2 linked regions of the Rhinolophus ferrumequinum genome follow. The protein of the gene in region 1 interacts with the protein of each later gene in a biochemical or structural test. Links are inferred from orthologs where the notes say so. Each region holds a gene or a part of one and is shown in the gene's direction. Other genes may lie near its edges. The genes, in order: AXL and GAS6.

Evidence for each region.
Region 2: the proteins of AXL (region 1) and GAS6 form a complex in vitro, tested with the Homo sapiens proteins (2 studies listed by BioGRID and IntAct, with this or other methods). The link is inferred for Rhinolophus ferrumequinum from reciprocal best matches to the Homo sapiens genes AXL and GAS6.

The regions. Positions count from the first base shown.
Region 1 is NC_046298.1:39,556,963-39,572,374, forward strand, and holds the start of AXL (tyrosine-protein kinase receptor UFO), read left to right. Parts: upstream 1-9,591; 5' UTR 9,592-10,090; coding exon 10,091-10,154; intron 10,155-11,252; coding exon 11,253-11,475; intron 11,476-11,801; coding exon 11,802-11,902; intron 11,903-12,421; coding exon 12,422-12,598; intron 12,599-15,412. UniProt on the Homo sapiens protein: Receptor tyrosine kinase that transduces signals from the extracellular matrix into the cytoplasm by binding growth factor GAS6 and which is thus regulating many physiological processes including cell survival, cell proliferation, migration and differentiation.
Region 2 is NC_046287.1:56,166,794-56,181,698, reverse strand, and holds the start of GAS6 (growth arrest-specific protein 6), read left to right. Parts: upstream 1-9,251; 5' UTR 9,252-9,437; coding exon 9,438-9,516; intron 9,517-9,779; coding exon 9,780-9,946; intron 9,947-14,905. UniProt on the Homo sapiens protein: Ligand for tyrosine-protein kinase receptors AXL, TYRO3 and MER whose signaling is implicated in cell growth and survival, cell adhesion and cell migration.

The DNA.
Region 1 (15,412 bases):
ACACCTATAGTTGTTTTCTAGAGTTGGTCATACAGGTATTCAGCCTACTTCTTCACAGGGCCACGCTCATTGGTCCACGCAGCTGTCAGACACGCAGCCACACACAAGAAGGCCACAAGGCCACTCAAGCTTTCTACAGACATCGTCTATTGGAATCACAACCACATGCTCAGATAACCTACTAACTCACACACAACACAACTCGCCTGGACTCGCAACCCACACGTGGGAGTTCAGCTGCCACCTTCACAAAGCCACCAAAACAGCCACTGTGTTCAGCACCCACACACCTTCGTCAGTCATCAAACTTACCAGTGCCACCATCTCTGGGAGCCTGGTGCATAGAACATGCCCCCTCCTGGGTCATGTCACCTCCCAGAGAGACTGTCCCTGTCCTCAGCCCTCAAATGACCACACCCTGTCCAGGCACATGACCATCACCATCCACACACCCCCAACCACTAAGCCACTCAGCCAGCCCACGAGTGACGTTGTCCTAGCTCCTGACTATCTTCCCACAGAGACACCCCACTCCCACTGAGTCATAGCCTGCCTCTGCACCTTCAGCCCTCAAGGACACCCTTTTCCAAGTATCCTAACTCCAAATTCTTCCAAATACAAATACACCCCCAGTGTGCAGTTGTGCACACAGGCCTGGGAACCAAGTAAACTTGGACACACAAGGACCCTCAGATCAGAGGAACCTTCCACGCACTCCAGCTTATATAACCGTGTTGAAAGCCTCCCTTGCCCCTTCTGCCCCCGCCCCCAATGCACACAGTGACCCACCAGCCCTACTCAAAGTCCTAGTTAGACTCACTGGAAGGGGCTAGACAACCAAGTAGGGGCCAGATTTCAACTCCTTATGTCAGGGAAGAGGCCAGGTCTGCTGTCCTTGGACTGGAAGGTCCGTGTTTTGCAATAAAAGTTTGTTTCTGGCCCCCGGTCCAGCCCCGTGGCAGGGCCGTGTGTGTGTGTGTGTGTGTGTGTGACAGTGTCCATCATTGTAAGGGGTGGGAATGGAGGGTCCACCCCTCCCTCGAGGCTGGGCGGGAGCTGAAAAACATGGCCCCCGCCCACCCTGGCTGTTGACATCAGTACCAGATGTGAGGTTGGGGGAGGGGGGCCTCTTCTGGACTCACTTCCGGTGAGGCAGATGAGGGAGGGCTGGGGGGGGCAGGGAGAAGGTAACGGCAGAACTGCATGCCTGTGGGTGGGGGTGCCTCTGCCAGAGAAGCCTGAAAGTGATGTATCCAAGCCCTGGGAACTCTCCCAATCTGAAAGCAGATGCTGAAATACAAACCCTAACCCTACGCCCGCCTCTTCCACTATCCTTTTTCTCCTGCCTTCTCTAAGAAAAGAAACGAGAAGCATCTTTTTATTTGTTAATTATCTATTAAGGAAGCTTTTAAACAAAAGTAGAGAGACTAGTACAATAAACCCCACTGGCCTCATTTGGTAATCATCCCCTCTCTGCTATTTTTATACCGTTTTCTGCTAGTTTTATTTCATCCATCACCCTTATAATTATTTTTAAATCATTGAATATGCATTTCTAATAGTAAAGAACATCCCCCCACAAAGTTTTATTACGTGAATTTTCAAACATGCAGCAAAGTTGGGGGAATTACACGAGGAAGCCACCCACTCTTCCGTGTGCCACTGCCTGGATTTGGTTTGCTTTAGCACATTTCTATCCACCTGTCCATCCAGCTAACTTTGTTAGGCGTTTCAAAGTAAAATGCAGATACCAGTTTATCTGCCCCTGAATGCTTCATTCAGCAATGCATGTATCATTAAAGTCTTTTTTTCTAGTTTTCCACAATATTATCCCTTTATTTTATTTTATTTATATGTATTTATTTATTTTGGCTTAAGTTCTATAGAGGTAGCCCAGAACAGTGATATAGAGAATTGAAAGATGAGAGTAGGATCAGATCCTAACTTTGCCACTCTAAAGCTAATCACCCCTTGACTTAGAGTATAGCATCTAAAAGACTAAAATGTGAAAAATTCTGGGACTCAATCGGAACAAAATACAAGCTAAGTCCGTGGGTTTGCTATTATTACGGATTTTTTATGCATCAATGTTGTGGACAAAAAAAGGGCCACATACTAAACCTGACAAGTGTGGCGGGCCTTACAAACTCTGAGACTGAAAGTAACCACGCAGGATGGTCTGGACATAAAAATTCCTAACTAAAAGGGACTCATGGCGGGTAGTCCCATCCTAGGCCTGTAGCCTCCTTGACAAACATCAGTCTTTGCCTTAAGAAGCCTGTCTTTTTGCATCTAACATAACAAAGCTTTGAAATGTCAGAGTAATCTCTTTTTCCAGACCCCTGGGCACAAGCGCCAGCACCAGAGCGCGACATCACAGAACCCCTCTTGTTATCTTGTTCTCCGCATACCATCTCTGTGTACTACAAATGTTAATTCTTAACTATCCTGTACTCGCCAATGTAAAAGGAGTATGTGTCTCTCCGTTTTACTTTTTATACAATCCCAGAGATTTCCCTCTTTGCTTTCTCTCGTCCCCTTAATCTACCACCAATGGATTCCATGTAACCCTCCTTACGTCTCCTTTGATTCTAATGTCTAAAAGAAGCTGCAAAACTCCATTCTCTGGAGTGTTTCTCAGTCCGTTGAGATTTTGCTTCCCAGTGATTGTCAGTTTGGCTCAAACTCTCAAAAGTTCTCTAGGGGTGGCTGAATAGCTCAGTTGGTTAGAGCACAGTGCTCTTAACAAGGTTGCCGGTTCGATCCCCGCATGGGCCACTGTGAACTGTGCCCTCCACAACTAGATTGAAACAACTACTTGACTTGGAGTTGATGGGTCCTGGAAAGACACACTTAAATAAAGTTTTTTTTTTAAAGTTCTCTACAGGTTTGGACATTTCTTAACGGTGACATGAAAAGGAATGAATGAGGTTTAAGGTTTTCTCTTTTTAAACTAAGCAATGACTTGCTTTCCTTTTCACTCACAATTCACATTCAGGGAAATTTGGGATCAGAAATACAAGCAAACTCATTTAAGAAAGGATGGATTTTGCACTGCATCAATATGAAAGGTGACATGAGTTAGGCTGATTTCAGTTGCAAGCAAAATATAAACTCAAAATAGTTTAAGCAATAAAGTGTTATTGGACCCCAAAATAAAAGTATTTAGAATCTGTACAGTTTGTGTGTGTGTGTGTATGGTAAAATATGCATAACCATAGTTATCATTTTAACCATAAGTGTACAATTCGGTGGCATTAAATACATTCCCTGCGTAACCATCACCACTATCTCTACTCTCAAATTTCATTATCCCCAAAAAAGACTCGTAATTTTTTAAAACAATAGCTTGCCCTTTAAAAATTGCTTTTTAAAAGTCACAACCATACCCATTTTCACAGCTAACACACTGAGCAGTTCTGCCATCAGTGTTCTCAGATTCCTGACAGTCTCCTGAGTGTAATTTATAATTGGGTTTCTTCAAACAAGGGCCCAAGGCTCACCACATGTTGCCTTCGTTTAAACCATCTTAGGTCTTCTATGTCTGCAACCATTCCCCCACCTTTTGAGTGCCACTTATTTCTTGAAGAAACTGGGTCCTTTTTCCTGTACAATTTTTTCATATCCCGGATTTGGCAAGGGCCAGATTCTAACTTCCTGTGTTAAGGAAGAGACATCTTTGTGATGCCGCTCAAGCTGTCCTTCCATTCCCAGGAATTCCCTATAACCTGGGAATTAGATATGATTTGGGCTCATCTGGCAAGAGCTCCTCATTGGAGGTGCTGGTCCCTTCCTCGAGCATCACATCCTAATAAACAGTGGTACCGTAGTGCATCTAGGTCCTGACCCCTCTGGTAGAAAGTTTCCTGTTAACTTTCCACTTACTGGCTTTAGCAGAGGGGCCCTTTAAAACCAAATCAAATCAGGTCTGCTCAGAGCCACCCAGTGGGGACGCCTGGCGCACTGTTGGTGGGGATGTAAATTGGTGCAGCCACTGTAAAAAAACGGTATGGAAGTCCTTCAAGAAATTAAATATAAAATTACCATATGACCCAGCAATCCCACTTCTGAGTATATATCCAAAGGAAAAGAAATCAGTACCTCAAAGAGATATCTGCACCCCGTGGTCATGGCAGTATTCTTCACAATAGCCAAGACATAGAAACAACCTAAATGTCCACCATCAAATGAATGAATAAAGAAAATGTAATATACATTTGACCCTTGAAAAACGTGGGTAAGGGGCTACAACCCCCCCACCCCGTGTAGTTGAAAATCCATGTATAACTTTTTTAAAGTTTAATCAAATATTTTATTAAATCAAAAAAGGACAAGAAAATAGAATTAAGGGACAAAAACCAGATGAAACAAATAGCAAAATGGTAGACACAAGTCCAATTATCTTAATAATCATATTAAATGCAAATGGACCAAATATTTCAATCAAAAGGCAGAGATTCAGACTAAATATAAAAACAAGACCCAACTATATCGAGTCTACCAGAGGGTGCAATTTAAGTTTAGTCAACCCACATGATTGGATGTCCTCACCAAGCAAAGGTATCCTAGGGTGTCCAGATTTTGGCAATTGAGGACAAGTTATGAAAAAAAGAGCAGGTTTCTCTAAAATAGCAAGATTCAAGAGGACAGGACATAGACCTTAATAGGAAGAGTCAAAAAATCAGTAGCCATTTTTTAAAACATCCATAAGGATAAAACTACCTTTGCTATAGGTACGTGTGTAACTTTTGACTCCCCAAAAACTTAACTGCTAATAGCCTACTGTTGACTGGAAGCTTTACTGGTAATATAAACAGTTGATTAATGCATATTTTGTATGCTATATGTATTATATACTACTGTATTCTTACAATACAGTAACCTAGAGAAACTAAGATGTCAAGAGAGTCATAAGGAAGTGAAAATACATCTAGAATATTTATTGAAAAAAATCTGGGGGTGGCCGGATGGCTCAGTTGGTTAGAGCACAAGCTCTTAACAGCAAGGTTGCCAGTTCGATTCCCAGATGGGCCAGTGAACTGTGCCCTCCACAACTATGCCTTTCAACGTAGATTGAAAACAACAACTTGACATCCTGGAAAACTACACTATTCCCAAATATTCCCCAATTAAAAAAAAAAAATCTGCATATAACTGAACCTGCACAATTCAAACCTGTGTTGTTTGAGGGTCAGCTGAGTGTGTGTGTGTGTGTGTGTGTGTAAAATGTATAAAATGGAATATTATTCAACCATAAAAAGGAAATCCTACAACTTGTGACAATATGGATGGAACTTGAGGGTACTATGCCAAGTGAAATAAATCAGACAGAGAAAAGCAAATATTAATACTCTATGATCTTATGATCTTAGTTACTCATATATGTAGAATCTAAAAAAGCTGTACTCATAGAAACAGAGACAGATGTAATGTACAGCATGATGACATAGTTAATAATATTGTACAATACAATAATACTGTACTGTATATTTGAAAGTTGCTAAGAGAGTAGATCCTAAAAGTTTCCATCACCAGAAACAAAACTTTTGTAACTATATATGATGAGGGATGTTAACTAGACTTACTGTGGTAATCATTTTGCAGTATGTACGAATACTGAATTACTATGTTATACACCTGAAACAAATGTAATGTTATGTCAATTATATCTCAATAAAAATTAATTAATTAATTAATTAAAAAGAAACAAGGGGCAGAATGGTGATGGCCAGGGGCTGGGGAATGAGAGATATGAGAAGATGTTAGTCAAGGGTACAAACTTTCAGTTATAAAAATGAATAAGTTCAAGGATCTAATATATAACATGGTGATTATAGTTAATAATACTGTAGTGTATAATTGAAATTTACTAACAGAGTGGATCTTAAATGTTCTCACCACACACAAAAAATGGCAACTATTTGAGGTGATGGATGTGTTAACTAACTTTATTGTGGGAATCATTTCAAAATACATACATACAGCTCTTCCATTCTGCTGCCATCGCTGAAGAACCAGCAGCCAAAATGAAGTTCAACATTTTTGTGACTTCTGACCAGAGCAAGAACGGTAAAAGGCATTTCAATGCGCCTTCCCACATTCGCAGGAAGATTATGTCTTCTCTCTCCAAAGAGCTGAGACAGAAGTACAATGTCCGATCCGTGCCCATCCGAAAGGATGATAAAATACAAGTTGTACGAGGATATTACACAGGGCAGCAAATTGGCAAAGTAGTCCAGGGTTACAGGAAGAAATACGTCATCTACATCGAGCCGTGCAGTGGAAGAAGGCTAATGGCACAACTGTTCAGGGGGGCATTCACCCCAGCAAGGTGGTTATCACTAGACCAAAGCTGGACGAAAACCGTAAAAAGAACCTTAAATGGAAAGCCAAATCTTGCTAAGTAGGAAAGGAAAAGGGCAAATATAAGGAAGAAACAATTGAGAAGATGCAGGTATAAAGTAATCTTATGTACAGCTTTCATTAAAAACTGTTAAGATGAAAATGAAAATACGAGTGTGTGTGTGTGTGTGTGTGTGTGTGTGTGTGTATTAAATCATGTTATACACTTTAAGTTTGTTCAATTTTATTTGTCAATTATATCTCAATAAAGCCAGTGGGTTATGTCATTATTAAAATAGCCAAAGTTCTCGCTAGGCCAAGGCCCTCCCTGACCTCACCTCCTCCCTGACACCCATGCTTTTCAGCCACATGGGTCTCTTCCTTGAATTTCTGCACAGCCTACCTCCAGGCCTTTGCACTGTCTGTTATCTCTGCCTGGAATGCCCTTCCCTACATGACTCACTTGCTAATTTACTTCAGATCTTGATCATAACCTCAGAGAGGCCCTCCTTGGCCACCTTCTCTAAAATGATGCTCCCACACTTTGCTATTCTCTCCCCTGCTTTATTTTTCTTCACTGCTCATGTTGCATTCTGATAAATGCTTATCTGGTTGTTGTCACACTTTCCCTAGGAATATGAGCTCCATGAGAGCAGAGATTTGTCTTGCTCACTGTGGAATCTCCAGCCCATGGCACAGGGAACATTTCTATCCACCTCATTTTTTAAATGCATTTGATAGTAAATTGCAAAAATGAGGTCTGACCATTAAGTTCATGAACTCATCCTAGAACTAGTACTACATATCTCATTGTTGAATATCACTACGGTCACCTTCGAAATACTCCTCTTGGGAAGCTATGCACTGATGCCAGCATGTAGTCCATCCTTCAAAGCAACTTTGGAACTCTTTTTCTGGAATGGCCATCAGAGCTGTTGTCATATTACCCTTGATGTCTTGAATCTCATCCAAATGTCTTCCTTTCAATATTTCCTTTATCTTCGGGTAAAGAAAGAAGTCATTGGGAGCCAGATTATGTGAGTAGAAAGGGTGTTCCAATACAGTTATTTGTTTACTGACTAAAAACTCTCTCACAGACAGTGCCATGTGAGCTGGTGCATTGTCGTGATACAAGAGCCATGAATTGGCCAAAAGTCCAGGTGGTCTACCTTTTCACGCAGTCTTTTCAGCACTTCCAAATAGTAAGCTTGGTTAATTGTTTGTCCAGTTGGTACAAATTCACAATGACTAATTTCTCTGATATCAAAAAAGTTTAGCAACATTGTTTTGACTCTTGATTTGGACTGACAGAACTTTTTGGTCGTGAATTGGCTGACTTCCATCGTGCATTTTGATGCTTTGTTTCAGGGTCGTGTTGGTATACCCATGTTTCATCACCAATGATAACATTGTCCAAAACATCATCTTGCCTCTCCAAAAGATCTTGGCAAACTTCTACTCTCCTTTGCTTTTGTTCATCAGTGAGCTCCGTCGGGACCATTTTTGCAAACACCTTTCTGATACCAAGGTTTTCAGTTAAGATTTTCCTAACTGGAGGTTGATGGGTGGCTCAGTTGGTTAGAGTGCGAGTTCTGGGCAACAGGGCTGCTGGTTCGATTCCCACATTGGCCAGCAAGCTGCGCCCTCTGCAACTAGAATGAAGTCAATGAGCTGCCGCTGAGCTCCCGGGTAGCCAGATGGCTCAGTTGGTTGGAGCGTGGGCTTTCAACCACAATGTTGCCGGTTGGACTCCTGGACTCCTCGACTCCCACAGGCATGGTGGGCTCTGCCTGCAACTAAGATTGAACACGGCACCTTGAGCTGAGCTGCTGCTAAGCTCCCGGATGGCTCAGTTGCTTGGAGTGTGTCCTCTCAACCACAAGGGGTTGCCAGTTCGACTCCCGCAAGGGATGGTGGGCTGTGGCCCCCTGCATCTAACAATGGCTACTGGAGCTGAGTTGCACCCTCCACAACTAAAATTGAAAGGACAACAACTTGACTTGGGTGGAGCTGATGAGTCCTGGGAAAAACACACTACTGTTCCCCAATAAAAAGTCCTGGAAATACACACTGTTCCCCAATAAAATCCTTTTCCCCTTCCCCAATAAAATCTTAAAAAAAAAAAAAAAGATTTTCCTAACTGTTTTTCTATTGATGTTTACTTGGTCTGCTATGCTTCTCACCGTCAGCCGATGATTTTGATGCACAATTCGATGAATTTTTGCAATGTTTTCGTCAGTTCTGCTCGTTACTGGCCACCCTGACCTCTCTTCGTCAGTAACGCATTCTCTTCCCTCAGAAAAACGTTTAATCCGTTTGTACACTGCTGTTTTCTTCATGACATTATCCCCATAAACTTGGACTAACATGTCCCTGATTTCACTTGCACTCTTGCCAAGTTTAACAAGACATTTAATGTTTGTTCGTTGCTCTAATTCAAACCCAGACATTCTCGTGACAGCAGAGACCCCCATGTACAAAACACATAGGGGCATGAAAATGGACACATAGCAGAACCAACCCACAGGCACTGGATCTGCAAGGAGCAGGATACACAATCCCACCAGAGGGAGACCCCAATGCAAGTACACAGAGACACACAGATGAGATGCAAAAAAGTCAAGGGCACCTTGTCAGCTGTTGTCACCACAGTCACCATGTGCAAAGAACTGAATGTTCACTAACCCAGGACATCCTCCCTCTAGTCTGGTAAGTGGATTCTATTCTCATTCCCACCTTACAGATGGACAAACTGAGGTGCAGGGAGACCAGTCACTTCCAAGGTCACATGGTTCCTGGTAGGGCTGGGTTCCCAGCCTGGGTCTTTAGGCACCCCTGTGGGTGGCTCCCACAGAACAAGCTGTGGTCCTGTTTCTGCACCCAGGTGTGTCTTTTTTGCGTGAAGCTCTGGTCTCCCAGGAGTACCCTGAGTATACCCCAGGGATGCCCACCTAGCAGGTGTTCTCCTGGTTCTGGTTTCTGAGGTTTCTCCAGGAATGGAGTTCCTGACCCAACTTGTCTTCTGAATATGTCCCGTGGGCCGGCAGCGTGCCCCTGCGTGTCTTCTCCTGTCCCAGCCTCTGTGCTTCCATGACATCTATGTGTGTGTGTGTGTGTGTGTGTGTGTGTGTGTGTGTGTGTCCTTGTCTGAGGAGGAGCTGTGAGTGCGAGGGGAGTGTCGGGCTGGGGCTGGGCTAGGGGTGGAGGCCCGGGAGGGGGGGCTCACACAGGCTGAGAGGGGAGTGGAGTTCTGGAGGAATGTTTACCGGACACCAAGAGAGCCCAGAGGGACAGCGCCCAGAGCTGGTAGAGAGACGCACAGCCTCCCAGTCTCGCTGGCCCAGCTGGCCCAGACTTAGGGGCGCAGCCACCAGGGCCCCTTCTCTTCCTCAGCCTCCCTTCAGGGCCCCTTTAAGACGGCTGGTCCTCTTCTCTCTAAGTTAACCCCTCAAAGTCCAGGTGTCCCCTGGGCTCCAGGCCTGGTGGGCGGAGGCAGGGGGAGCCAGGGGCGGGGGAGAAAAGGTTTGACGAGATCTGGGAGGGAGAGAAGAGGCCGAGGAGCAGGAAGGCAGCCACCAAGAGGAGCCGGGAGGCGTCCCTGCCTTGCCAGTCGGACAGTGCCAAAGCCGGGGAGCGTGGAGCTGGGGGGAGGGCCGGGGACAGCCCGGCCCTGCCCCCTCCCCCACGGTGTGCCCAACAACTTCTGAGGAAAGTTTGGCAGAGAAGCCGCGAGCGCGGTGCCCGGAGGATGGGCAGGGTCCCGCTGGCCCTGTGGTTGGCGCTGTGCTGCTGGGGGTGCGTGGTCCCCAAGGGTGAGTGATGGGGGCTTGTGGGGGAAGACCACCCGTGGAGGGGCTGAGGCAGAAGGGAGCGGAGGGGGGTGGATGGCAGGTGAGTCCTGCGCTGGCTCAGGGAAATTCCTTGGGACAACAGAGGGAAACAGGGAGACACAGACAAACCCAGAGACCAGGGACAGAAGGGGTTCCAAGAGAGGAACAGAGGGACAAGAAACAGAAACTAGGAGGGTCAGAGACGGGAAGAGATGGACCGACAGAAAGACAGACACCCAGGAGAAGCTGAGGGCAGGGGTGGGAGCTGCACTTGAATGGGGGGCCCTGGGGAGAGAGTCTGAGATGGGGGCTGAGAGGGAAGGAATGTTCCAGAAAGGAGCACTCAGTCAGACAGCGAGGCGAGGAGGGCTTGAGAACCCTAGGGAAAACCCTGGTACAGTCACTCCTCCACTTGTTGCTGCCCCACCACTGTCTCTGTCTGCTCCATCTCTGGGGTGGGGTGCCTGGATCTGGCTCCAGCTCTGCCATCTCTTTCCCTGTCTCCCTGTCTCTGTCTTTGTTTCTCCCCATTTTCTAGATGTCTCTATCAGTGTCTCTCTCAGTCTCTGTTTCCCTTTGTGTGTCTCTCCCCCCACGTTTTTCCCCTCTGGGGTGTCTCTCTCTTCAGCTCTCATTCCCGCTCTCTCTCCGGGTCTCTGCTTCTCTCTATCTCTGATTCCCAGTGGCCCTGACTCTCTCTCTCTCTCTCTCTCCCTTTTCTTCCCGCCATTCACCAGCCTGATTTATCAAGTCTCTAGAGACCCTAAAAGAGGGCATGGGGGCAAGGGCTGGCCCTGAAGGCAGTCTGGGGCGTGGGAGGCTGCCAGATCCCGGGCCTACTTCCCAACGATGAAGGATGGAGGCTGGACAAGGATGGAGGCCGGACCCCAGTCTCCTGGGAAGGCTCCCATCCTCCCCTCAAAGCCTCCTCCCTCCACCCCCCGTTGAGGTCACTCTACAACTATGTGGGCCTAAAGGCCTAGCAGGGTCCTGGCAGCCTTAGGCAGGCCAGGAGGGCTGGAACTGAGGAGTGGAGGGAAGCGGGGGCTCCTACGCTGACTCTTCCCCATCTTCCTGCAGGCTCACAGGCGGAGGTGGACCCCTTTGTAGGGAGCCCGGGGAACATCACTGGTGCCCGGGGACTCACAGGGGCCCTTCAGTGTGAGCTCCTGGTTCGTGAGGATCCCCCTGAGGTGACCTGGCTTCGGGATGGACAGGTCCTAGACCTGGTGGACAGCACCCAGATCCAAGTGCCCCTGGACGAAGACGGAGAGGATGACTGGAAAGTGATCAGCCAACTCAGGTGACCAGTTTCTCCCTGACCAGTCATGCCCTACGTTCCCCTTGACCCCTGTGCCCCCATGTCCGTCATATGGTGGGTGAAGAGTCACCTGCAGGAGCTCCACCTGATTTAGAACCCTAGTCTGGCTACTCAATAGCTGTGTGGCTTTGAGCATGTGACGTAATGCTGGGTTTCGCTTTCCTCTTCTGCAAAATGAGTTAATTATAGTGCCCGCTGCTTAGCTCTCATGAGTTTCCAGTCCAGGTCCCCCTCTTTCAGTTCTGATGACCCCTTCCCAGTGTCCAGCTCTAACCTGAACTCTTCTGTCCCTCCTTTGTCCCTGTCAGAATCTCGTCCCTGCAGCTCTCGGACACGGGATGGTACCAGTGTGCGGTGGTCCTGGGAGGAAGGACCTTCGTGTCCCAGCCTGGCTTTGTCGGGCTGGAGGGTGAGCCCTGGGCTCAGAGGTCATGGGAGGTCAGGAATCCAGAGAGGTTAGAAGGTGCTGGAGGATTCAGCATGTTCCCTGGCATTCCAGCCTAGAAATGTCAGAGATCTTGGGGGGTCAGGGGGACAGGGCTAGGTGGAATTACATGTCCTGGGGAAGAAGACATCTTGGGGGTTGTTGGATGTCCTGGGGTCAGTCATGGTTGGAGTAGGACATTCTGGAATCAGATAAGGAGTCAGAGGCATGACAACCCTCGCCCTCATCCCCAGGGGCCTCCCTTCCTCGTTGGTAAAATTAGAAGTCAGACATTCTGCAAAAGAGACATGAACGGATCAAATATCTTGGGGATCCCACATTGGTCGGGGGAAGTCAGATATTGGGATCATGTGTCCTGGGGACAGAGACCTGAGGGGACAGATATAGGGGTTAAAGACCCTATAGCCTCCAATAACTTAGCAGTAAAACAGACACCTGTGGGGCTCAGAGGGATCCCAGCCTCTACCACCGCCCCCCACCCAGGCTTGCCCTACTTCCTGGAGGAGCCTGAGGACAGGACTGTGGCCGCCAACACCCCCTTTAACCTGAGCTGCCGGGCCCAGGGACCTCCAGAGCCTGTGGACCTACTCTGGCTCCAGGATGCTGTCCCCCTGGCTCCGGCCACGGGCCACGGCCCCCACCACATACTGCATGTTCCAGGTGAGTATGGATATATGGCCAGGTCAGTGCAGAAGCCTTGGAAGGATGGAAGTGGCGGGCAAGGGAGCCCTTCATGCCTGTGTGTGTCTGTCTGTCCCTCTGTGGTCTGTCTGTCTCTGTCCCTGTGTCTCTCTTTGTCTCTGACTCTGCCTCTGCATCTCTGCTCCTGTCTACCTCCTCTGTTCTCTCCGTATGCTTTCTCCATCTCTTTGTGTCTCTGTTCTCCATCTCTCTTGGTTTCTCTGTGTCTCTGCTCTTTTTCCCTCCATTTACCCCAGACTCTCTCTGAATAGAATTCTTTGTCTTGGGTTTCCTCTGAGCTGTTCCATGGCCCATAGTGTCTGTGGGCCCAATGGTCCTTTGTCAGCACTAGACCCCAAGCAGGGCACTGGAATCAACCATGCCTTCCTCTCTTCCACCTCCCCCAACCTGCCCACCTCTGTTACTGAAGGGCCCCACTGGGGCAAAGAGTGGGGAAAAAGTGGGAGGCAGAGAAAAAACAGTTACAGAGAGAAAGAAAACCAGGGACACAAGAAGAAACAGACCACAGGGGTAACCCGCGATGGAGAGACAGGACAGGAAGGTCTGTCCCTCAGGGTAACCATCCCCAGGCAGGGTCACTCCAGCCTCAGGGTAACCGTCCCCTTCCACACCACACAGACGAGGCAGGACCTAGCTTGGGGTCACACAGAGGCCAGAGGCAGTGCTAGGGGACTGAAGTAGCAGGGGTTCCCCCTCACTGAGGAAGGAGAGAGGGACATAGAAGAGTGAGGCTCAGTCAGTCAGAAGGAAATGGCTGGACTCCAAAGGGTATCAGCTTCCGTGTGCTGGGATGGGGAGGGGACTTCTGACCTAGGGTCTCCTGGGGTAGAGGGAGGTGCCCACATTCCCAGCATTCCAGGGGCCCTAAGTGTGCAAGGAAGTGGTGGTGAGCATGCCAACCCCCAGAAAGGTGACTCAGGGCCCCGGCTTTGGGGCCTGAGTCAGCCTGGTAGGATCCTGGAGTGGGGGTGGGGGAGGGGGCTGGTTCCCCCACACCGTCCCAGGAAGAAGGAGAACTGGGGGTGGGGGGGACCACATGGTACCACTGTGTGGTGGAGCTGTGTGTGTGTGTGTGTGTGTGTGTGTGTGTGTGCGCGCGCGGGGGGGAAGCCGTGTGTGTCCGTGTCCCTCTCCACGTGTGTCTCGGTGTCTGTTAGCATCAACCTCTTTGCACGAGGGTGTGTCTTAGAGAGGGTAGCTTCTGTGGTTGTTTCTGTGTGTGTGTGTGTGTGTGTGTGTGTGAGATTCACAGCAGGTAGTAACAGCACCCTTCTGCTTCTGTCTGGCCTGAGTGGCCTTTTGGTGGATGAACATGGGCGCTGAGCAGCCAGTGTGTAAAGTGTGTCTGTGCCGTCCGTGTGCACATGGCAGCTTCTTCACACTTGTGTGTCTGCCGTAACCCTACGTGTGTGTGCGCTTTTGTATTAGTCGGCATCTCGGTGAATGTGTCTGAAGCATCCTGAGTCTGTCCAGCTGTGTTTTGAAGGCTTGGCTGTGCTTGTGTGTGAGCAAACCCACATGAACTTTTTTGGGTCCTGGTGTGTACCTGTCTGTCTGCTTCAGCCTCGATGTATGATTGTCGCTGGGTGTGTGCGTTTCAATATGCAGGGAGGTTTGTTTGTCTGTCAGCAGCAGCCTAGGTGTGTGTTATCTTGCTAGGTGTTTGTAGTCAATGTATGCGCATTTGATCATATGTTTATGTTTGTGTCTCTTCCTGTATATGTGTCACTGTCAGCCCCTGTGTGTATACATGTAAGTCACTGAGTGTATATTTGTCACTATATGTGTGAGAGCATCAGCCCTGCGTGTAGCTTAGTGAGTGCTGCATTTTCTGGTTTTGTGCCAACAGTCACTGTGTGTTAAGCGTGATTCATTAAGTGTGTGTGGAGGGGGCTGTCTCGGGGAATTTCATCCGTTTGTGTGTGTCTGTCCCTCAGTCTGACTCAGTACATGCTCCCTTTCTCCTTCCATCGCTCTCATTCCATCGGAAAAAGCACAGGGTGGGGGGAGCAGCAGGAGCAGAGGGGAGCTGGACAGTGCATCTGGAAAGCGCATCTGCTCCAGTCATGAAGGGAGAGCCTGCTGGAGGGGAGGGGTCCCAGACCCCTTTGTCCCTGCTCTTTTTCTCTCTCTCGCTCTCCCTCAAGGTGCTGGGGCCTGGGAAGGGGGATCCTGGGCTGTGCCCCACAAGGCCAGCTGAAAGTGCGCAGGGAAGGGGGGGCTCCTGGTGACTCACTCATGCGGGGGCAGGAATGCTGCGGTTGGAACAGGACCGGGCTCCAGGACCCCCCTCCTGCCCAGGGCTCCTCTAGTGGGCAGCGGGAGCTCCCGTGCAGTGACCCTGACGGGTCCCCACGTGCCAGGTGCCTGGACAAAACCCAGGCTCCCTGCCCCCGCGGGCTGTCGGCCTGCCCGGGGCTGTCATGTCCCTCCCCCAGGCAGCGGGGGTTGCGGGCGGGCACCTGACCTTGGCTGGGAACTGGCGTCTGGGCAGAGGAGCTGAGGACCTTCCCTGCCCACCCCCTTCCGGCCTCTGCCGACTTTCCCTTCTTCCACTCCCTCTGCTGACTAAGAATAGGAAACTTTGTGTCTGCGGGTAGATGGTGGTGGTGGGAACACAGGCACACACGCGCAGAACAAGCACAAGAGACATACGCAAGCTCCCAACATCCCCAGCCACACATCAGCACAGAAATACCGACAGGCACAGAACTTCAGTCACACATACAGACTTAAGACGTGGTCCTCCTTTCATCAGGTCACCCAGACAGC
Region 2 (14,905 bases), on another chromosome or scaffold:
ACTCCTGCCTCCCTCCCTCTGCTCTGCAAACTCGCCAGGACCACGACCAGGACTCAGGCTAGAGTGACGCTCTATGTTTCAGACTAAGGAAAGGTTAATCAGTCCATGGTAGGCAGAAATGGATGTTGTTTCTATGGAAAGATCCCTACAGCATTCCATAAAAGTACTTATTTTTGGCACTAAACCACATTATGGCAGACAACCATAATTGTTGCAACCTCTTGGTATGTCCTGTGCCAAGGGGGTCCTAGGACCCAGGACTTTTGATGTTAAAAATGAAACCATTCCTGGAAAAACAGGAACAAGAGGGTCACCTTCAGGGTAGGCCCTGGAGGACTTCTCCATAAAGGGATTTTTCACCTTAATGAGGTCTGATCACTTTCATTCACCATGGTAAGCAGTGTTTTCCAAACTTTTTGACCACACCCACAGTAATAAATACATTTTACATCATGACCCAGTGCACACTCAGAAAATAAATAGAGTGGAAATGAAGAACTAACATCTAATAAACTCTGATATCCTCTATTCTATTCTGCATCGTTAAAAAACTGCTGGTTAACAAAATAATAAATTGATTTCAAGACCTATCATTGGGTTGCAAAACATGGAAGAAACACTTACCAACTAATTTTGTGAAGCCAGAAATTCTTGGATACCAAACCAGATAACAATAATACAAAAAAAAAAAATACCCAAGAGAATACCAAGATGGAGCAGTAGGTAAACACTGTGCTTACTTTCTTTCATGACCACATCAAAATTACAACTAAATTACAAAACAACCATCATTGAGAATCACCTAAATTCTTGCTGAACTGAAGCCCTACAACTTAGGACACACATAAGAAGCCACCTCCAGACGGGTAGGATGGGTAAAGACTCAGAACAGGTTGGTCCCACACCTGTGTGTGACCATTAAAGATCAGGAGGATATTTCATCTGTGGAGGTCCCTCCCACCCCTCAGAGGAGCAAGAGGTCCTAGCCCCACCCCAGCCCTGGGTTCTAGTGCCAGAGAGAGAAAAACCCCATAATTTCTGGTTGTGAAAACCAGCGGACATTGTGACTGAGTGAGACAGAGGGTGGCTAGAGTCCCAGATGCTCCTCTTAAAGGAACATTGCACGGATTTTCCCACCCACGGAATCACTCGCTCTGAGCTTCAGTGCTGGGGCAGCAGCTGGAAAGGTGGTAGGGACCTATGGTGGAGAACTGAGTTGTCTGCCTTGGGACAGGGGCTGGAGAGGTGGCTTTCTCCTGGACAGAGTAGCTGGCAGATGTCATTGTTTCTTTGTTGAGCCATCCCCCTTCCTGGCATGCGCACGCAGGGCGGGGTATCTGAATCTGCCAGGTATCTGAGTCTCTGCTGTTTGTTTGCCACACCCTGGTGATTTGAGACCCTGCCCCACCAACTTTCAGACACACCCAAGCCACTTCCAGAGGCTTTTTCATACAAACTGCCTGCCTTAGCTCATGCTGCAGATGTTCCTAGGGTCTCTCAAAGCTTCATGGAACCCAGAAAGCAGCATCAGGCTTGAGCGTGTCCTATACCTCTGGCTGAGCAGCCCTAAGCTCAGCACTAGCAGAAGCCAGCCTTGGTTCACAGCTTGGCCTCTCTACGCACTTTCAAGCATGGCACAGGCGGCAGCCATCTGTGGATTTCTTTCTGGCTCCCACTAGGTGGCTCCAGGTGGAGCAGGGGCTGTGGCTGAAATTGACCTACAGTGGATCTCTTCCAAGGTGGTCTTGGGGCTAACCCCCAGTGGACAGCTTCAAAATTAGTTGGTATATCACCCAGCCACCTCCAAAAATGACACACCCATGGGGCAGATTGGGCAGGCACCAGGGTGCTGCTGAGGGAATTCCTGCTCTGTATTATCAGTCCCTGCACAACAATTCTTCCACTGTAGTTATGGCCATTCCTCACAACCAGTGAGCCCATTGAGCACCCATTGATGTGCAATTATCAACCAAGGCTCAACTACAAGAGGAGGGCACACACAATCCACACAAGGGACACACCCGGAGTATGCGGCTCAGGTGACCAGAAAGGACTGCACCACCACGCCCTATAGCACACCCACTACATAAGAACATTCTACTAAGACTGGGAGACATAGCAGCCCTACCTAATACAGAGAAGCAAACACAGGGAGGCAGCCAAAATGAGGAATCAAAGAAACATATCTCAAATAAAGGAACAGAACAAAGCTCCAGAAAAAGGACTAAACAAAATGAAGAAAGGCAATCTACCAGACGCAGAGTTCCAAACGTTGGTTATAAGGATGTTCAATGATCTCAGGGAGAACTTTAACAAAGAGATAGGAAACATAAAAATGGAGATAGAAAACATGAAAAAGAACCAGTCAGAAATAAAGAATACAATAACAGAAATGAAGACTATATCACAGGGAATCAAAAGTAGATTCCATGAACAGAGGATCCAACCAGTGATATAGAAGATAAAGTAGTAGAAAACACCCAACCAGAACAGCAAAAAGAATCCAAAAAATTGAGGAGAGTTTAAGGGGCCTCTGGGACAATATCAAGCATATGAACATTTTCATCATAGAGGTACCAGAAGGACAAGAGCGAGCACAAGGAATTGAAAACCTATTTGAAGAAATAATGACAGAAAACTTTCCTAACCTGGTGAAGGAAATAGATATACAAGCCCAGAAAGTACAGAGAGTCCCAAACAAGATGAACCCAAAAAGGCCAACACCAAGACACATCATAATTAAAATGCCAAAGGTTAAAGACAAAGAGAGAATCTTAAAAGTAGCAAGAGAAAAGCAGTTAGTTACCTATAAGGGAGCCCCCATAAGACTGTCAGCTGATTTCTCAACAGAAACTTTGCAGACCAGAAGGGATTGGCAGGAAATATAAGTGATGAAAAGCAAGGACTTACAACCAAGATTACTCTACCCAGCAAAGTTATCATTTAGAATTGAAGGACAGATAAGGAGCTTTCCAGACAAGAAAAAGCTAAAGGAGTTCATCACCACCAAACCAGTATTACAAGGAATCTTAGAGGGACTTCTTTAAGAACGAAGTGGGGTTAGGGATAGTTGCAAAGAGGAAGGGATTAAGAAGTATAAATTGGTTGTTACATAGTAGTCATGGGGATGTAGGTTATAGCATAAGGAATATAGTCAATAACATTGTAATAACTATGTATGGTGCCAGATAGGTACTAGATCTATCAGGGTGATGGGGTTGGGGGCAGGGTGAAAAAGGTGAAGGTATTAAGAAATACAAATTGATAGTTACAAAATAGTCATGGAGATGTAAAGTATAAGGAATATAATCAATAATATGGTAATAACTATGTATAGTGCCAGGTGGAACTAGTCAGGGAGATCACTTCCTAAATTATATAAATGTCTAACCACTATACTATATACTTGAAACTAATATAAAATAATATTGAATGTCAACTCTAATTGAAAAATTTAGAGGACCTGAAGAGACATTTCTCCAAAGAGGACATACAAATGGCAAATAGACATATGAAAAAATGCTCAACATCACTAATTATCAGAGAAATGCAAATAAAAACCACAATGAGATATCACCTCACCCCAGTCAGAATGGCTACCATCAACAAGACAAATAGTAACAAGTGTTGGAGAGGCTGTGGAGAAAAAGGAACCCTCATACACTGTTGGTGGGAATGCAGACTGGTGCAGCCGTTATGGAAGGCAGTGTGGAGGTTCCCAAAAAAATTACGAATAGAATTACCATATGACCCAGCAATCCCTCTCCTGGGTATCTACTCAAAAAATCTGAAAACATTTATACATAAAGACACATGTGCTCCAATGTTCATCGCAGCTTTGTTTATGGTGGCCAAGACATGGAAACAACCAAAATGTCCTTCGATAGATAATGGATAAAGAAGTTGTGGTATATATACATAATGGAATACTATTCGGTGGTAAGAAAAGATGATATAGGAACATTTGTGACAACATTGATGGATCTTGAGAGTATGATGCTAAGTGAAATAAGTCAGACAGAAAAAGCAGAGAACCATATGATCTCACTGATATGTGGTATATAAACCAAAAACAACAAAAGAACAAGACAAACAAATGAGAAACAAAAACTCATTGACACAGACAATAGTTTAGTGGTTACCAGAGGGTAAGGGGGGTGGGGGGTGGAAGATGAGGGTAAGGGGGATCAAATATATGGTGATGGACGGAGAACTGACTCTGGGTGGTGAACACACAATGGGATTTATAAATGATGTAATACAGAATTTTACACCTGAAATCTATGTAATTTCACTAACAATTGTCACCCCAATAAATTCAAAAAAGAAAAATTTAAAAAGGGGGGAAAAGAGCAATAATATTGTGATAGTGTGGTACAGTGTCAGATGGTTGCTGGACTTATCATGGTGATCACTTCTTTAGCATAGGAAATAAAATCAATAATGTGGTAATAACACTGTATAGTACGAGGTGGGTACTGTTGAATAACTATGATGTATACCTGAAACTAATATAATATTGTATGCTAGCTGTATTTTAATTAAAAATCTTAAAATAAATAAATAAAAGAAAAATAGTCTATTCTAAAAAGAAAAGAAATACCCTCATAACATGGAAGCAAAGATTCTTAACAAAAATATTGCAAACTGAATCCAACCATAGTTTATAAAATGACCAACTGGGGTTTATCCCAGGGATGCAAGGTTTATTTAACATTTGAAAATCAATCAAGACAACTCACATTTTAATGAGTACAAAAAAAGAAGAAACATATGATTGTCTCACTAGATGCAGAAAAAGAATTTGACAAAACCCAATATCTATTACTAATTTTAAAAAACCTTGCATAAAATTAGAAATAGAAAGGAACTGCCTCATATCGATAAAAAGCATCTCTGAAAATCCTACAGCTAACATTATGCTTAATGATGAAATACTGAATTATTTCCCTAGGGTCAGGAACAAGACAGACATATCCACTGTCATGATTTCTAGTCAACATTGTAATGGAGGTTACTAGACAGACAATAAAGCAAGAAAAGGAGTAAAATCACCCAGATTTGAAAGAAGGAAGTAAAATGTCTATATTTACAAATAATCATCTTGTTATTTTGCATAATTATCTATGTAAAAAATCCTATTGAATCTACCAAAAAAAACATTGAAATTAATAATTTAGTTAAGCAAAGTTGTAGAAGACAAATATACAAAAATCAAATGTTTAAAGAATCAGAAATTGAAATTTAAAAATTTGCAATAGGATGAAAAATATAAAATATTTAGGAACACATTCAAAATGAATCATAACCATAAATGTAAAACTTAAATCTATAAAATTAAGAACATCTTTGTGACCTTAGATTAGGAAAATATAATCCCAAAGGCAGACTTCATTAAAAATTATAGAAACTGTACTTCAAAATTAAGAACTCTGTTCTTTGAAAAGCAGAGTTTTCATTATTTAATGGAATGAAAAGAAAAGTCACAGACTGAAAGAAGAAACTATGTGGTAATCGCACATCTGATAAAGGACTTGTATCCAGAATATTTAAAGAACTCTTATAACGCATCAAATAATTCAATAATTGGAAAAGGAAACATCCCAAGTAAAAGAAAAAAAGATAAGAAAATTTAAACAGACACTTCATCAAAAACTACATTTGGATGGCAATAAGCACATTAAACAACATCATTAGTATCAGAAAAATGCAAATTCAAGCCACAATGAGATACCACTATACACCTAACTACTAGAAATGCCTAAAATTAACGACTAACTACAGCAGCTGGAATTCTCACACTGCTGGTTGGAATGTAAAATGGTAATCGCTTTGAAAAACATTTTGTCAGTTTCTTAAAAAGTTAAGCAAATACCTATCACATGGTCCAATCATTCTGCTCTTAATATTTCCCCAAGAGAAATGAAAGTTTATATGCATACAATAACTTGTATACAATGTTCATAGCTACTTTATTGGTAATAGCCAATAACTGGAAACAAAAATGATAAACAAATTGTGGCAGATCCATACAACAAAATACTACTGAGCAATAGAAAGGAATAAACTATTGATATACACAACAATGCAGACAAACCTGAAAATATGCTGAGTGAAAAAAAAACAGACAAAAAAGTCTGCATACCGTATGATGCCGTTTATGTAAAAATTCCAGAAAATGCCCACTGTTCCATAGTGACAGAAAGCGGGCCGGTGGTTTTGCCTAGGGATGGAGATGAGGATGGGGCAAAGACGTTCAGAAGAGACGGATGACCAGAGGGAATGAGGAACTGTTTTTGAGTGATGGGTATGTTCTTAACTTGATTGTGCTGGTGGTTTCTCAGGTATATACATATATCATTGATGTGTCGAAACTTATGTGTGGAGTTGGTTGTATTTTCACTACATCTCAGCAAAGCTGTTTAAAAAACAAACAAAACCCAAATATGATTGGTTTGGTCAGCACTCAGCACAGTGTCTTTTAAGACAAATAGCAAGTACAGTTGCTTGAACAACACAGGTATGAACTGTGCAGGTGGGTCCTGCACATGGATGGTTTTCAATAAAATACATTTTGTCCTCCATATCCCCAGGTTTCACATCTGCAGGTTCAACCAACCACAGATCGAAAACAGTGTTTTCGATCCAGGGTTGGAAATTCACGGATGTGGAGGGCTGACTGTATGCATTGTTCTATGCCATTTTATATAAGGGATTTTTGACCATCTACAGATTTTGGTATCCAAAGGGGTTCATGGAACCAATCCCCCTTGGATACCTAGGAATGACTGTTGTTAATTAAGTTTCTGGGGAGTCAAAAGTTATAGGTGGATTTTTGACTGTGGGGGGGAGTTGGCTACCCCCCTCCCCATGTTGTTCAAGAGTTAACTGTACTCAACTCACATTTATCGAGTGGATACCTAAATGAATGGTCTTATTACCTTGAAATCACCCACAGATGTGATGACAGAACGGCGAACGGAGAAGTTTCATTTCTCTACAAACACCTCATTTCCTACCTTACCTCCTACCTCACCTCCATACTTTCATCCCCGTTTATCCTTGGAAAGAGGAACCACTGGCTTTCCACCTCCTGATCATGGGCTGGTTGTCCATATAAAGCAGGGGTGTCCAAAGTTTTTTCAACGTTTTTCACCAAGGGCCATATGCGGTAAAATACACAAACAGCCGGGCCACTCACTCGAGGTGAAGTACGTATTTCCTCACCTGGTTTATTTATGTAAACCAAATATAGTTTTGGAATTTGTTGCGGGCCAATTAAAAATGGATTGCGGGCCGTAGTTGGCCCATGAGCCGCAGTTTGGACACCCCTGATATAAAGCATCCATTGCCCCGAGTCTAACCTGCCCCTTGTGGAGGTGAACTGTCTACTTCATCATTGCTATTTCAAGGTATATAATATAGTGCCTGACAACTCTTTCTGATTTTGGAACACCTTATCCAAATTGTTTCTTATTCATTTTCTATTTCTGCCTTAGAGTAAATTTTATGCATTCGTAACTAGGTTGAAAAATTGGGCCTTAGCTTGGGTCAAGCATCCTCCACTGCTCCCCATGATTGCTTTCTGCATTCCGCAGTTATCAGAATCAAAATGAGCGAGTGTCTGTGAATGCTTTTTATTAAATGAAGTCTCTATGTAACGGGAGGTGTCATGATTATTGGGATACCAATTCAGTAGGAGTGAATGGGGAATATGGAAAAGGGGAGTGAGGTCCGGGCTAACAGGTCAGGGGACCTGAAAGACTGTCCAGTGTGGCCATACTGATGCCTGGTCACCTGAAGCAGTGGGTTGACACCCAGGCAGACCCTCCCAGAGGGACATACATAGAGGCCAGAATGCTCATTCTTATTCAGATCAAACTGAGAACTGCATAGACTCTATAAACTGTCTTCTCCAAACACACAAATAACGGAGAAAAACACTGCAAACAATTTCTAGGAATTCACACACATCTTGAGATCTATCCATGGGCTGCTAGCTTAGAACCCCTGAGAAATAATAGATAGATGTTCTCAAATACAATAGTCTTTCTAAGCTCCGTGGTGTTTGCTGGGTGCTGTCATCACTAGGCTGCATTTGAGTTGCTAGCTGACAAAGAAGTGCCTTGTTACTCTAGTTCAGACACAGGTACAGATGGCTTATCTTTTATTTTTTTATTCAATTTTTCCCCCCACCCCTGGCTTATCTTTTAAATTGTCAATTCTTTGAAGATGGTCCTCAAGAACATTAATTTCCCAGAATTTAACATATTAATGTGCATTAACCCCACCTTCAAACCAATGACCTTAAAGAATTCTACCAGCAACGCTATTTCCTTCTCCTACTACAGAAGGGGAGCGGCAACTGAGAGGTCCAGACTGTCTGTGTTGAACCCACCAAGCAAAATGACCAACCGTTTGGGGTGGAGATGACTCACTGCCCCTTTTCTCATCATTTTGAGTGCATAGGGGAGGAGGTGTGTCCAGAGCAGTTTTCTCCAGAGGCAGGGTTCAGGCCTCCGCTCCTGCTGCATTGCCTGCTGTGGTCCCCTTTGAGTGGTCTGCTATGTGTTGGTTTCTTTTGGTGTTTTTTGCCTGTGACTTTGCGAACTATCCCGGGAGGAGAGACAGAAAGTCTTGGTATCTGTGAACAAGCACAATGTTGCTTTCAGCTTAAATATCCACTGGGAAACCTCAAGGTTTTCAATGTCATTATTATGGAAAACAAAGATTACAAAAGGAAATAACTTAATGTCACTCCCCGGTCCCCATTGGGATTCAGTTTGACCTCGGTTTATCTTTTCTTTGGTGGGTTTTAAGTCTTGAGAAAATCTACCCAAGAATGAAGAATCCACAAAGGATGTGGTAGACTTGGGTTGAGGGCGGTGGGATGGGGAGGGAGGTTTAAATCTGCTAACTGGTCAACTTGTACTTGGTCACGTTGTACCTGGGTGTTATTTCTTCTGTCCTTTTCCCCTTCCGAATTAATACAATCAATCGCGACTCCGGAGAAATTCCTCCGGGGCGCACTAGTTTCAGCAGCCCGCCTGTAAAGTCGCCACGCCCCGATGACCTGTTTCCCCTTCAATCTTTGATCTTCATAGCTAAAACCTGCTCGGGCGCCGGGAGGCTGGTGGGAGCTGGCGGCCCCGCCCGCCCGGCGCGGCCCCGAGGCCAGTCCTGCCCCCGGCCGCGCGCCCCGCCCCGGCCACCCCCGGCCGCGCCGCGGCCTCCGCCCAGACCGGCTGCGAGCCCGAGGTGCAGCCGCCGCCGTGATGTGACCTTCAGAGCCGCCTGCACAGGATGACCGGAGCCACCGCCCCGCGGCGCCCGCGGCTCGCCACGGCCTCCCGGGCGCTCTGACCGCGCGCGCTCCCGGCTGCCCGCCCGTCTCCCGTCCCCGGTCCGCTTCCCTGGCCCTTGGCCCGGTCCTCGCCATGCCGCCGCCGCCCGGACCTGCCACCGCCCTGGGCACCGCGCTGCTGCTGCTCCTGCTGGCCTCGGAGTCTGCGCACAGTGAGTACCGCGTAGGGGCCGCGGCGCTGGCTGGATCGAGAGACCCTCCCTCAAAAGATCCCGCCACCCCCGGGACAAGGGCAGAGCCAGTGCCCGCACCCCAACCGGTCCCCGTGCTCCCCCGGCCGGTGCGCTCCCGCCCAGCCACCGCATCCCCAGGCCCGCTGCTGGGAGGACCGAGCGTGCGGGGCCCGGGTTAACAGCGTGTCCCGGCTCTCTCTTCGCTCTCTCCCCGCTGCGTCCTCCCGCCGGCATCGGTGCAGCCGTGATGCTGCGGGCGCGCGAGGCGGCTCAGTTCCTGCGGCCCAGGCAGCGCCGCGCCTACCAGGTCTTCGAGGAGGCCAAGCAGGGCCACCTGGAGAGGGAATGCATCGAGGAGCTGTGCAGCAAGGAGGAGGCCCGGGAGGTGTTCGAGAACGACCCCGAGACGGTGAGCGCGGGGGCCGGATGCGCCAGCGCTGTGCCGGGGAGGTGGGCAGGTGGGAGGTGTGCGCCGCGGCTGGGCGGGACTGCCGTGCGGAGCTCTAGGGCCGACAGGTCACCTCGAGCGCTGTCCCTGCAGCACCGCATTTCTGGGGACATCCATCAGTGCGCGCCCTGGTGGGGAGCCCCGGGGTTCCCCAGGCACCCCAGAGTTCCCTTCCCAGACTCTACGGTGAGTCCCTCATGTGGGGGCTACAAGTCACACTCTGAACTCTTAAATATGGAGACATCGTGTTCAGGAATAGTGAAAGGGCAAGGATTTAGGGTGTCGGAATCCCGGCCCGCCCTCAAGCGTCCTCCGCACCTTTTGAGCCTCAATTCTCCAGGTGACCCCCAGGTGCTCTGGTTAGCTGGAGGCAGGAGCACATCTTTGAGCGGGGTCCTGTGGAGCCCCTGCAGTTAGTTCCCTTCATTATCAGACCTCTAGAGGCAGACACCGTAAAGGAAATACGCTATATATGGCCCCTCCGCCAGAAGGCAAGAGAGGCCGTTTGTAAAATGTAAAAGAAATGCCTTGGTTAAAAAACCCAAACAGCTTCGTACCTTCCCTCCGCCTTAGCTGGATTGGAGGTGAGGGGTGGGGCTGTCCAGGCTTCTTGAACCTCATGGAGAGGATGGAGGGTTTGCCAGAAAGAGGAAGTGAAAGATGTGAGGGCTAGAATTGCTTGCAGTAGCAGGTCCTAAAATATGATTACAGGAATAGTGCTAGACCATATATTGGGGGGAGGTAGGATGGAGGGGAGGGGGCACAGAGTCAGGGGGACCTAAGGGAGGAAAGTGCAAAAGCTCCCCCTCACACACAGGCACCAGCCCCTTTCAGCAAGATGCTCCTTTAGAAGCATCTGGTGACTTCAGGAGCCTGATGGTGCTGGCTCAGGACTTATTTCTATTAATAATGTCCTTGGAGAATGTGGGGCGCCAGGCAGCCAACTGCAGAGAGCAGCTCAGGTGTGGACTTGGTCTGTGCAGGAGCTGTGTGATCTTAAGGGACAGGAGATGTGTAAGAACATTTGTGGTGGTTATGACCTGTGGGACCTAACGGAAGCCCTAGATATCTGTTACAGAGCAAATAACTTGGGAAAATAGAAGTGATAGAAGTGGGGTGGACTTACATTACGTCACTTTATGCTGTGAGATCAGGGTGATTTCACAGCTGTTTTGGGTTCTGTCAGATTTTTTGCTTTTAAAGAATTCCTCTGGAATGAAATAAATGTCACATGCAATAAACGAATGGCTCTGTGTGACTGAAGTAGGCTTCTTTTCGACTTATATTTCTGATTGGTTGACTTGACAATCCCTTTTAAGTCCTCTTTCTGAAAACTGGCTTTAAAATTATTGACTCTTTTGTGCAGCTCTCTAGCTATGGTAGCGTTATTTTCTCCATTGTCACTGCTTTCAGTGTCAATAGCAACACAGTTGTATGTAGCAGGTTTGCCAGTCTTTACTGACCCCACTGTTTCCCCGTTTCTTAATGATGAATCCTGGTGACTCAGTGAATCATGCTCCTGCAGAGGATTTCTGAAGGTCCTAGCAGCAGGGCTGTGTGCCTGGCCACCCAAGGTCACTGCCCAGTTATGGAATTGTATGACAGGTGCAGTGTTCTCTATCCCCATGCCTACTCTGGACTGTTGCTTGTGCAGAAAATGTGGGATGGGGCTTGCAGGCGACAAGAGTTGAGAGTAACAAGGCTGCCATCCACCCAACCAGCCCTTTCCCTGCCCCCACCCCAGTTTACCAGGACAGAAAAACCCTGGCCCGGCTTTCCCTTGCTGTCTGGACATACTACCCATTAACCACAGTGCCACTTTTCTCAGAATGTTTATCCTGTCTCTGACTGTAATTGCTGTTATGTTATCATTTTAACTTTATTTGCAAATGTATGGAGTGAAGATGAGGAAAAAAAAGTGTTCTCAATCCCATAACTTGAACGCAACCATTGTTCTTTCAGAGTGGGTCTGCGTGCAGGGACTTTGCTCTTTCCTGTGAGAGCTTGGCTTTCCCTCCCTTCCGAGGCATAGCCGAGTTGCTTTAAGGCTGCGGGTGGCGTCCTCTCTCACAGTCTGGTCCCATCAGGAGTTTGTAAACTCCTTTTCATATCAAAGCATTTTATAATTTTCTAGAATTCTATCCTCCTTCCCAACACTGACCCCCAAATAGTAAGTATCTTTTGTTATTTATCAGCTTCCCAGGTTGGACTGGTTACTTCTGTATCTTCCCTCCCAATCAGTTGGATTGCAAGCCCTTCATTTTAACTTGAACCTTGCATCTTGTGTAGACTGTTGTCTAGACCATGTGCTCTGTCTGGATTTGGCCCTTGGCTTGTTTTCCTTTTCCCAGAGAGGCAGTGTAGAATGCTGAGAGGAGCCAGATTAGGGTTGGGGTCAGGAGTCAGAGTTAGAGGTCATGGGGTTGATTCGAGTCCCAGCTGCTCCGGTAGACCAGTTGTCCACTTCAATGTCCATATTTTCCATTTCATCCAACTCCTTGCTTTGGGGAGCTCCATGCTCTCTGGGGTGGAGAGACCCTCCAAATACAATTCATTGCTAATGTATCATAGTAAAAACAGCACTTTTGAAAGAGGCAGTCCTGCGAAATAGCCAATGAGTTCCTCTGCTCCAAAAAGTTTGGGGCTCTCACTAGGAAATATTTATTCCTTGCTCCAAAAGTAGCTCATTTTGCATTTTTTTTTTTTTATATTGAGGCTGATGGTCACCAGGATGGTGAACACTGACCTTATTTAGTTTAAGAAGTGCCCAGGACCTGGCCGTGTGACTGCCACAGGACCTCGAGGGCCACAGTGCCCTAATGTGAATGGCTGCCCCAGAATTGGCGTTTCTTGAATTGTGATCACCTGACTGTCTCATAGTGGTGCTTGTAGGAGATGCCAGTCCTCACAAACCAGGGCCACCTTCATGGCTGATTCCACCTGCCCCGCCTCACTGTCTACCAGGTTAGGGTGCTGGAAGTGGCTGGCCTGTCCTCAATGTCTGGCCCAGTTGTAGACACACTTGCCCAGCTTAGGCTCTACCTTTGACGGAGTTTACAACACTTCTCTTTCCTGCTGTACTACCTCTCCTGTTGCCATTCCTGGGACTCTGGGGGTACGGTACCCTGGTAGAGGAAGCCCCAGGGAGGGACTGGGAGAGCTGGGGGCGGGGGGCTTGGGCACCTGGATCCAGCTCTATAGGCTGCAAATCCCCTTACTGAAATTTGGAGGTTTGTGTTTGTTGAGCACATGCTCTGTGTTGGGTGTGCTCTAGGTTTTCCTTTCTGATCTGGATCTTTCCAAACTGGGCTGTCTTCCTCTTTTTGGGGAGGGAAGGTGCCTGACTTTTAAAGCTCTTCTCCTTTTAGCAGTTAGCTGTTAGCACAATTCCTGAGGTTATCACACACTTGTGCTGGAAAGGAAGGGAAACTGGGTGGGGTGGGGTGGGGCTGGTGGTGCCTTCTTGAGTCTCACATCTTGGCCACCAGCTTCCTTCCTGGGGGCAGATGATCTCCCTCTGGCATGGAGGGGCCAAATGGTCTCCCAGCCACATTCTTTCAGGCTCTAGGGGAGTGCCCGGCCACCCATGGTTGCCACTGCTAATCCCTGTCCCTCCTCTCCAGAGTCCAAGGGGTGATTACATTCCCTCCTTATCTTGTTTCCTTTTATGTTATTCTCTCTTCCTGGTATTTCCCTCTCCCTTGTTTTTCTGCCTTCTGGGACCATGGGTCGTCAATCCCCCAGCTGTCTCTGCTGGGATTCTCCTGAGTTCTTCTGAAAGCTCACCCAGGCCAGCCCAGAAGAGTCACCTTTCTACTTAAATTCTTTAAGGCAAGTGGGTTCCAGACACTTTAAAGACACCATCTCAGTGATTATCCTTTGCTTCTGGAAAGCATTCTGGATAAAAGTTTACCCCTGCCTGACCTGCTGCCCAGGTACATGTCACCACCTGGCAACACCTGGTGCTTGCTCCTGCAGCTAAGCCATGACGCTGATAGGAAAACAATTCCAGGTTGCAGTTTTTGACCCCACCACCTGGTTTAATTTGAGATACAAACAACAATAATTACAATATTAGTAACTGGCTGGTGATACACCCTGAGAATTCACAGCATGCATGGCCACTGGCTCGTGTTGGAGGGCGTCTCTCCCACCCCCGTGTCTCTCTGTCTCTCTCTCTCTCTCTCTCTCTCTCTCTCTCTCTCTATATATATATATATATATATATATATATATATACACACATATATACCTCTCGCCCTCTTTGTCTCTGCACCCATCTCTCTCTACTTCACCCCCATTCCCCCCGTTCCAGCTCTCACAGACATAGTGGACCCAGCTGTGGTGATGGGGTTTCTACTTCAGAGGGTTTAGGGGTACAGTCAGTTTCAGAACCCTACAGTGCTGCTGGCCATGTCTTGAACTGCGTCTGCCCTCCAAGGACACCCATCTTCCTGAGGTTCCAGATTATTTGGGGACAGCTTGGATAGGAGGACCCCCTACAGAGGTGAAAGACCCTCCCTCAAATCTTGCCTTTCTGGCGTGGCCTCAGGGATCTCATGAGGGCAGAAGTGGGCCCTGCAGGAGGGTGGGGAGGGAGGAGGAGTACCTTGTCACTCCCAGTGACTTTCCTGTGCAATGCCGGTCCCCTGGCTGGAGTGGTGACACTGGCTGTGTCACCTCCAGGATAGCTGCTGCCCACCTGCCCCCAGCACCCCACTCTGCCTTGATAGCAACCCTCTCAACATATGCACATACACACCTACACACACTCAGGCACACACACACATGTACACGCATACACAGTCCTGTACCCACACATACACAGACACTCAGACACATACATGCATACAGACACACACAGACACAGTCACAGCCCACACAGACACATAGAACACATACAGACACATATAGTCACAC